Linked DNA regions of Caenorhabditis elegans. The protein of the gene in region 2 purifies or fractionates together with the protein of the main gene of each other region. This does not show direct contact. Each region holds a gene or a part of one and is shown on either strand. Other genes may lie near its edges. The genes, in order: nrf-5 and ttr-52.

Region 1 (5,397 bases), on a different chromosome or scaffold from region 2:
GATCCTAAAAAAATGAAGCAAAAATTAAATTTTAAAGAAGATTTGCGTCTATTAGATTTGCGTTTATAAATCTATTTTGATAAGATTTCAAATTAAAGGAAAGTTGGACGAAGTAACAAAGATGTTTTAAAACACAGATGGTAGTACATATATGTAAAAAGGAACAAAACATACTGACATTAACCACTTGGAACGTGAGGGGTTTCCAATTTCCTGGCAGCTATTATTTTTCTGACTATTCTAGAAAATATGTAAAAATGATATTCAATCTAATATGTACATCACAAAAAACTATATTACCTTGTGTCAAATTGAAGATTCATGAATTTCAAGGAAAAAAAAAGAGAAATACATTGCCGTGTGTCCTCAAATAATATTCCACTTCTTTACTTTGTTTGAAAAGGTTAGATCTCAGTCCATTTGAAGAATTTCAATAAATAATCAACAAAAAATCGATAGAAAAATAAATGGAAAAGATTTTTATACTTGGCAACTTTTGAATAATACAAACGACACAAGAGATATGAACTGTCAAAGTTTAAAAATGCGGTGTAATAACAATAGAGGAAATAAGTTGTTCAATCTAAAATGTTGGCTTATTTTTTCCATTAACCAATACACGTTAACAGTATAAAAACTTTATTCCCATGCTCCAACAATATTTCAGACTATTACTTCGTTTTCAAAAATTAAAACAGACTTTTCAAAATATTAGATAATCACGTATTTCGGCAAGTTTGGATTTATCTTGCTCTTCGCATCCAAATATTTTTTGAACTTCGCCAAGAATAGTGGCAAATCAAATGAGAAGTCAGTGTTGAGGAGTACAGCATGATCAACGAAGTCCAATTCGGTATGCTCTAGTTCGACTCCGCAGAATATTGGCAGTTTGACTCCACGACGGTTCATCGCAAAGCGCAGACGCTTTTTGACTTGAGGCCAGAGTACACGTGGGACCACAAATGAGAAGAGCTTTTCGATTGGAGCAGCGAGTGGTCCGCCAAGTCCAAGCTGAAATTTTTGTTCGACTTTCAGATTTATACAGGAAAAATTCTTTAGAATTAGTTTTTCTTGAATACAACTTACATCAAAAACGTTGACATCCACATTAGTCAGAGAAACATCTCCAAAAATACGCGAATGCCGGACAGTTGGCTTCAGCTGTAATTTTTCAGATTTTCGTAGCTGTTCATTAATTGTAGCCTACCGTGACGTGCAACTTTGTGTTAGCATGAAGAACATCATGGAGTTGTTCTCGTCCATGGAACATGATTGAGACATTTCCAGACAATTGAACTCGTGCTCCAAGATGAGCATCGATTTGGAGAATCGGTTGTCTGAAACTTTCAGTTTGTTAGAAATTACAAGCAGACACTTACTCAGTAAGATTAGCGGAAACTTCCACGTAGCATTTTGAGCACACCGCCTTTGAAAGTTTTTGCAGTATTTTTGGAAGTGAACTTGGGGTGTATCTGAATAATTTTCAACATACATTTGGGCTCATCATGAGCAACTTACCTATGTTTGAAATTTCCCAAGTCATACATGTAAATATGATGAAACAGTGTATTGGGGATGTACTCGGAGAGAAGAATTCCAACCATTTTCTTATCAAGCCGGGTCTTGTTCAAAATTTGAAGCTGCTGAGCTGAGTCGGCCTTCCAGCCGTTGAAGAGAATTCCTCCATCAAGGCCAATAATCATATCCTGAAATTTAAAGGTTTATGAGACACTTAATTATAAACTCTGCAGATAAGGTTGAGCGTTTTATTCGGATTCGAAAGAGTGCCGACGTCATCAGATGTGACAAAATGTGGGACATTTCAGCTCAAAACTAAACAAAAAAACAAATTTTTCTTTTGGACGACAATTTTTGTGATAGCCATGCTAGTGACTAACCTCATCTGTAAATGTTGGTGGATGATTAACGCTCAAATCAACTCCCCAATAAGATTTTTGAGTTTCCTCGGTTGTCAACGTTGAGTTATCATCATCCGGTGTTGGAGCAACCGTTGTCTCCACATTTCCCTCTTCTTGCTCCGAATCTTCAAATCCATTAACTGTGTCAACTTGGCACAATGATGCTCCTAACTCGGCGACACTGAAACCATTTGGATCTCCTGCTTCTGGCTTCTGATAGTTTGGGCTCTCAGGTGGAATTGGTTTCTGTGCCATCACGAATGTGAGAGCTTCAACAGCGGTTGTGCAGACAGCATCACGGAGAGCAGAGACAATCTGAAAAATTAACAGATTGTTTCCAAATTTTAAAAAAGTTTCGATTACCTGTCCTTTAATTTCCGATTGAAGTGCTGACAAACTTGATCCAGGTGGAAACACCAGTGAAAGTTCGGAATGAGTTACGTTGCAAACGGAAGCCTGAAACATTTTAATTTAAAAATTCAAAGAATCCATGATAGCTCACATTAACAGTAGTAGTTCCATTATAATCAAAATGAAGTTCCGATTCGATAGACAGTTCGCGGAGCTCTGCAGTGAAATCTCCTTCATATGACCACACAAATACACTGATCTCAGCATAAGCACTTGCACGGAAGGAAGCCAATGATATATTGTAGGCAACACCTTTTCCATCAATGAATTTTGCGCTGAGGTTCGGCTTTGCAACGTTTGATATATGAAGCTTTGTGATTTTAGCCATATCAGTCACAATATCGGGAGGGCTCAAGTTATTGAGAATTGCTGGGAGAGCATCGGATGCCAAATCTGAATTGACATTTATAGATTGAAGGCAATTAAGGTTATATTTTCCTTAAGGTCAAGCACATTTTCAAATTTTAATAGCCAAAATTCATATTTTTAAAATTTACAAAACTGAATCGAAAATCTAACTCAAAAGATCTCAAATGATTCATATCCGAATACTTCTACAAAGTAAGAAAAGCATAAATTAACGTGCACGGAAACTAAAACTTTTTGGCAGGCATTTTTGGAATTTTCAACAATTGTTGATTTTATAAATCTAAACATACATATGTATATTGATAGTTGATTAGAAAAAACTGCGACAAACAATATACATGTAAGCTTCAAACTTCTCAAAACTTCCTTTGTTTGCCATGCAACTCAGATTAGGATTTTTAAAGTTTTTACCAATCACAAATAAATTTACCTGCGACATAATCCACTGCTTTTTGATTTAATCGAACGTAGATTCCTGCTGGTTTATGTGTAATTTCCGAACTGTCAGCAGAATTTCCTACTTGAATTATTGAAACAAGCAGGAAAAATATGTGAAAATTCCGCGACATTTCTGCAAAATAAAAATCAGGAAAATTGAATATCAAGCTCTCGTGAATCAAGAAAAAAAACGAATTGGGACGTTTCTTTAAATCAAAGTGCTCCTCGTTCACAAGACGAAATATCATAGATTGTTGAGAGAGTTCAGACCAGCTGTCGGATGTATTTTTATGATTAATCAGACTTGAAGCGTGACCCTTCTGGCGGTGGATGAGCAGTGTAAAGTGACATCGATTTGTTGAGGTTTGATTGTGGGAAGACTGATATTGGCGAATGAGGACTCATCTTATAAAAACGAAATAATAAAAAAGCCAAAGTTAGATTTTTGCATCCAGAGTTTTTCTAAAAACTGTATCTTTATGTCAAAGTCTCCCCGTAGCCATGTTTCAGAAATTTCACCGAAACCTGGGTATTTTTTAAATGTAATCCTGTTCTCTGAAATGTCACTGAACTAAAGTTCGCACCAGCTCCATTTAAAAAAAATCCAATTTTGCTCAACAATTCACGAAGTGTGTGATTTATCCTACCTTTCAAAATATTCTGTTTTTTTACTCATCATTTCCTAGTGGGCATATTTCCATTGTGAGTACCTTAATGGATTGAAAGATGTTGTCTATAAGAGAAATAAATCGTACCCTACTAAAGACAGATGTGCGCGCGCTACAATGGGGCATTGAATCGACGTCATCAACCAGAGAGCACAAAAGAGACCTGTTGCAGAGACTATTGGCAGAATGTAAACGACGTCGGTCGATATGCTATTGCAATTTTTCATTTAGTCCGTATTGTTGTTTATTGCAGTTTGCATTAATCTAGAGAAACCATTCATTGGTAAAATTTTGTCAACTACACAATTTCCTTTTTTTTGATTTTACATTATCATATGCTTTATTAGTCCAGTTTATTTTGTTTGTTTTACAGTTTTGTTGGGGAGTTTAGCACTAAATTTATCTTGAGTCTGTGATCTTGTAAAATAAAAACTATATGGGTTAGCTTCAGCCTAAGTTGATTTCTCCGGGTGTAGGTGCCAAAAAATGTTTTATTAAAACGAAATTTAAACAACATTTAATCAAACTTTATTATAAGGTTCATAATTTCTCCAAAGCATTGAGCAAGTTGAAAGAAAAATAATTACCTTTTCAGCGTCTTTTTTTGCTTCGCGAGCCAATGGTGCATCAGTATTGTATGATCAGTTATACGTTTTTTTTTCAGAATGAATCCTATCGTCTCAACGTTTCCTTTAGGAAAACTGCCAAAAAATTGTGGAATCAAGGTACTTCTACATATGGATATGAAGTGTTGGTGAGTTTTTCTTCCGTCTGAAAAGTTTATTTATGCATTTTATGGTTAACTTTTACAGTCTATATCTCAGTTGTTTTAGGTTTTATCAAAAACTGTCAACTGACAAGAAATGTTCAAAATATTTTTCTATATTTTGTTATTAAATAGTTGTAATCAAACTTATGACAACCGATATATAATCCCACAAGTCTAATGAAAAAATACAAACTATAAAATTACAAATGCGGTTCGGAACTAGTTTGGTATTAAATTCCGCAGTTTTTGAAACATATATCTCTCGAAATATTTGCTCTGGTATTTCCTAACAAATAAATTAATATTACAAATATTCTTTGCAATCCATTATGTTCAACATGTGGTATTATTTTGCAGGATCTCGTACTCGTTCATCAGCAGGAAGACCAAGAACATCATTAAAGGTTTAATGATAAAAACACACCGTTTCAAACTTAGAACTGGCAGAAACTTTTTTGCGCTTTTCATTAATTTCGGTCATTTCGTTATTCATGTAACGATTTTACGGAGAGAAATGCATTAAGATTTTATCGACTTCAATCTGAATGCGCTACAAAAACTAACAGTGACATTGTTGGACTTCGATGGAAATGGATATCACAAGACTTTTCCGGAACCAACGGTCTCCAGAGAAATGACACTGAGAAATTTGACTGAACACTTTCTTGATATTCTATCCATAAAAAATATTGATGTTCATCTTCAAGCGACTGGGCGCTTTCAGATTGACTATCAGTGTCTTACTCCAAACTTGAATGGAATTGAAATCAGAAATCTTATTTTAAGATTTTCGGCAATGAAGCAAATCGCTGAACAGTCAGAA
Region 2 (3,803 bases):
TGGAAACATTTATGGTTTTTTTAAATTTGATACTTTTCAGTAATTTTTTCAGCCAAAAAGTGGAAAAATCTATAAATCATCAATTTTTAGGTTTTTTTTGGAGTTTCAGCCAATGTCTTCGAGTTACCAATTTTACGGGTTACCAATTTCAGAAGATGTTTCAAATGGCACATCAAAAATCCTCACTGTTTCTAATTGGGAAAATTAAATTGAAAAAATGTCTAAACTACAATAAAATCGATTAAATCATAGAAGCTCATTTGCAGAAATTGAAAAAAAAGTTGAACAAATTGGGACTTTTAGTTTGGAAAATCTCAAATCAAAAAGTTGGAAAAATTCAAAATCCGGTAAATTACAAACCTATAATGCTCCGGGTGTTGCTCCGTTGATGCTGGAATGAGCTTCAACTCGTAAGCTGCCTTTCTCTCCCAAAGGTCGCGCCTCCTTCATGGTAGAAGCTAGTATTTCACGCAGAGGGAGCATCAATGTGCAAAAGCTCATTGGAACCGGTTACCCATTCCGCGTGGTGTGTGCCGCGTACATATATCTTCCGCGCTGTTACTACTGTCAAAACTGTGGAGAGTGGGAGGCGGAAAAAAAAGAAAATGAAGAGAATATTTGACTTTTATTATACCAGATTTGAGAGACATAGATGAAAAGGAGGTCGGAAGTATATCGAGACAGAAATCATGAACAGTTTTATGCAAACATTGACTTTACGGCAATCATTTTATTTGCAGTTGAGTTCTTTAGTAGTCTTCAAGGTATCGATCTAGATAAACATTACCAAGACGGACAATTGATGGTAGGAACAGGGGTATTACGTCAATCTGAAATTTGTGAGCAAAGTTTCAGCAAAAAAGTTTGGCTTTCTGATCTATAAGAAACCTTTCATAAGGCATATAAACATGAGCCTGCCTGCCTTATGCCTATAAAAATATCTATTGGCAAAGTAGATATTAAATTTTATTTTTCAATCCTACTTTTGATCTCCAAATATTCATTCTTTAAAAAACTGAAAAAAAATTTTACAGGATTGTATTTTTCAATTTTTTTAGTCGGTTTCCATGTTTTTTCCATGTTATTTAATTGCACTTACACTGATATTTTTCATAGTTCTTGGTATAAAAAATTTGTTATTTTTTCAGAATTTCCAAAAAATTCAAAATCAAAAAATAAAATTGCCGAAAATTTGCTAGTTTTTAAAAACTTGCATTCTCCAGAACCTTCAGATATACCTGTATAGGATTTGTAGCATTACTATCACGATGTGGGCAATTGTGTTGAATATATAAATATGGATCAGGTGTATTAATTGGACCAAAGTCACTTGCACAACCAGTCACTTGGAAATTCCCGTTACGGTCGCTCCATGTTCGACCCATCAAGTCATCCGATTCTAGAGGTAATGCTGGAAATGTTTTAATTTTTCAAGATTAAACAAATTTGATAGTAAAAATTAATATTACAAAGTACTTACAATCTTCATCCCACAAATCGATATGCACTTTTTTAACAGCTTCAGGATCTGTTGGGCATTTTAAGACTCCAGTTGCCATAAGACAACTAGTTTTTGATAAAACGTTCCCTGAATAAATGAAAAAAGGCAGGAAGTAAATCAAAAATCTCGACATATGTTTTGAAAGTCTTTTGTTGGAGAATATTGGAGTATAAGGAATGCGTGGGGGTTGAAGAGACTCCCCTGGGGGAACATCATGGACTCCTATCTTATCGATCATGTTCATATTTATTTGCTCATTGGTGTCATCGTGTCAGCAAACACTCAAGTGCATTCTTCTCAGTTGTGGAGTAGATATTTATGTGTTACCGTTAATTTAATGTGGATATTTGGATCTAATGGTTTCACATCTCACTTGTATGTACATGACTAGGTCATTTTTCAATTACAAATTTGAGCTCTGAAGATCTATAAATGTCAACTACTATTTATTTTTTTAGCTATAATTATCAAAGGTCAAACTTTTTTTAAAGAAAAAATAATGTCGATCTGCCGACCTGATAAATCGTAAATTACTGACAGATCATTATCATATTATTCCAAAACATTTTTAATTGAAACAATAAAGTTTAATTTATTTTTCCGCACGTCTTCACTTGTCCGTCTTCTTGAATCCAAGCCGTTCCAGCCCAAATAGCCTTTTTCTTGAGTTCAGGCGGAAAGCATCTTTGAATATGAACTCCATCATCTCCACAACGATACTCAATGTCACCTAAATGTATTTTAAACAAATCTTGATAAAAAAACAAATAATACCTTCGCGCCAAACTGCATATTTTTTAATGTGCAATTCTTCATCATTTACATCGTCTTTCTCTGTTCCGTTGAAGCAACCTGAAAATGTAACTTTTGATTTAGCACTTGCTTTGTCGGTTTTTTAGAAAAAAACTTGCTAGAAAAAACTTACAATTTTGTTTGTTCCGTTCTAAAAAAAACTTTTCAATACTCCAACAAAATCCCATAAGAGTTAAGTTGGAATACGATAAGAGTTAGAAAATAAATCGAAAAAAAACTTGCCTTTCGGCTCAATCCTTGCCTGTAATTGATTTGCCTGAATCCTGCAATACTTCAAACTTTTGTTTCCAATCACAAAGAATCCACTCTTGACAATATCTCCATTTGCATCAACACATCCTTTAAATCGTCTTGAAATACAACAAATTGCGAATCTATCCTTGAAAATATCATCGGAAAAATCGGCGAATGTGGGGCAAGTGTTTGTGTTCAGATTATCCGTAACTTCACGTGCACACATGTATTCATATCCATTTTCCACATAGCTTTTGGAGCCGACTTCTAGTAAATGACCACTGTCGGTTACACATTTTAGAGTCTGAAGTTTTATAAATTAAAATACACATCGAAACATTTTGGTTCACTAAAATTCTAATCCAAAAATATAACCAATACTTATTAAATTAACCTGAATATTTCCATCTCGACAAGTGACCAAAAAATGATTATTTCGGATCCACTTGTCTCCATTTGTATAAATGACTCCATTATCATCACATTGTGAGATAACATATGAATAGACAGTACACAAAACCAAGAGACGCAGAGTAAAGGTCATTGGAATGAGAAGTGGTGTGGAGCAAAGTGAAGAACGATGGAATAGTGACCCAGGTTAAAGAAAATGTGTAAAGAGGACATGACTGAAGGGCTCGAGGGGAGAAACGTGACAAGTGATGATATCAAGTATAAATCAGTGTTTAATTACTTGGAAAACTATTATGTTGATTAATATTGAAAAGTTATTTAAAATTGATGAATGTTCGATATATTTATTTACAAAATAATTATTTATACAATATACATGGCAAGAAAGAAAAGTGAGTATTAAACATTAATTGGAGTTGGTGGAAGTTCTGGAAGTGCCCCTCCGTTGAGGAGTTGAGTGATAATGAAGATAATTGTATTGAGTTCCTGTAATATTTTGAATGTACTAACGAAATAAAATTCAGACATACAATTTTATTTGTTCCTTTCAATTGATTGATAGCATTGTTCTTCTCAATAGATGTTAGATTTTTGTCATCCACGATTTTAGACAATTTTCCTAAAATATCTGGAAGACTTTGAAGAATATCGGCAACTTCATTGAGCAACTGTTTGATAAGGGTGAAGATTGTTGAAATAAGATTGTTAAGCTCATCCTGAATACATAGTTAAATATAAATCAAAGTGAAGAATAACTCACTCCAAGACCAGGTACAAGACCGTTAAGTTTGGATATAACTTCATCAACTCCAAGATTATCCGCATTTGAGAGAATTTCTTGTAC

The links.
Region 1: the proteins of ttr-52 (region 2) and nrf-5 purify together in Caenorhabditis elegans (affinity purification with western blotting, with the first as the bait; one study listed by BioGRID). This does not show direct contact.

The regions. Positions count from the first base shown.
Region 1 is NC_003283.11:13,826,140-13,831,536, reverse strand, and holds nrf-5 (Nose resistant to fluoxetine protein 5), read right to left. Parts: upstream 3,271-5,397; 5' UTR 3,269-3,270; coding exon 3,130-3,268; intron 2,724-3,129; coding exon 2,422-2,723; intron 2,376-2,421; coding exon 2,283-2,375; intron 2,235-2,282; coding exon 1,899-2,234; intron 1,707-1,898; coding exon 1,519-1,706; intron 1,473-1,518; coding exon 1,380-1,472; intron 1,338-1,379; coding exon 1,208-1,337; intron 1,162-1,207; coding exon 1,087-1,161; intron 1,012-1,086; coding exon 712-1,011; 3' UTR 630-711; downstream 1-629. UniProt on the Caenorhabditis elegans protein: Plays a role in the uptake of a range of molecules including phosphatidylserine, lipids and xenobiotic compounds from the intestine to surrounding tissues. Possesses lipid transfer activity. Mediates transport of lipids from intestine to reproductive tract.
Region 2 is NC_003281.10:13,402,592-13,406,394, reverse strand, and holds ttr-52 (Transthyretin-like protein 52), read right to left. Parts: upstream 1,678-3,803; 5' UTR 1,635-1,677; coding exon 1,481-1,634; intron 1,412-1,480; coding exon 1,239-1,411; intron 831-1,238; coding exon 750-830; 3' UTR 612-749; downstream 1-611. Other genes in the region: mig-18 (Abnormal cell migration protein 18), read right to left, coding at 2,089-2,231, 2,276-2,353, 2,537-2,852, 2,943-3,092; srlf-10 (SXP/RAL-2 family protein Ani s 5-like cation-binding domain-containing protein), read right to left, coding at 3,359-3,445, 3,490-3,675, 3,720-3,803.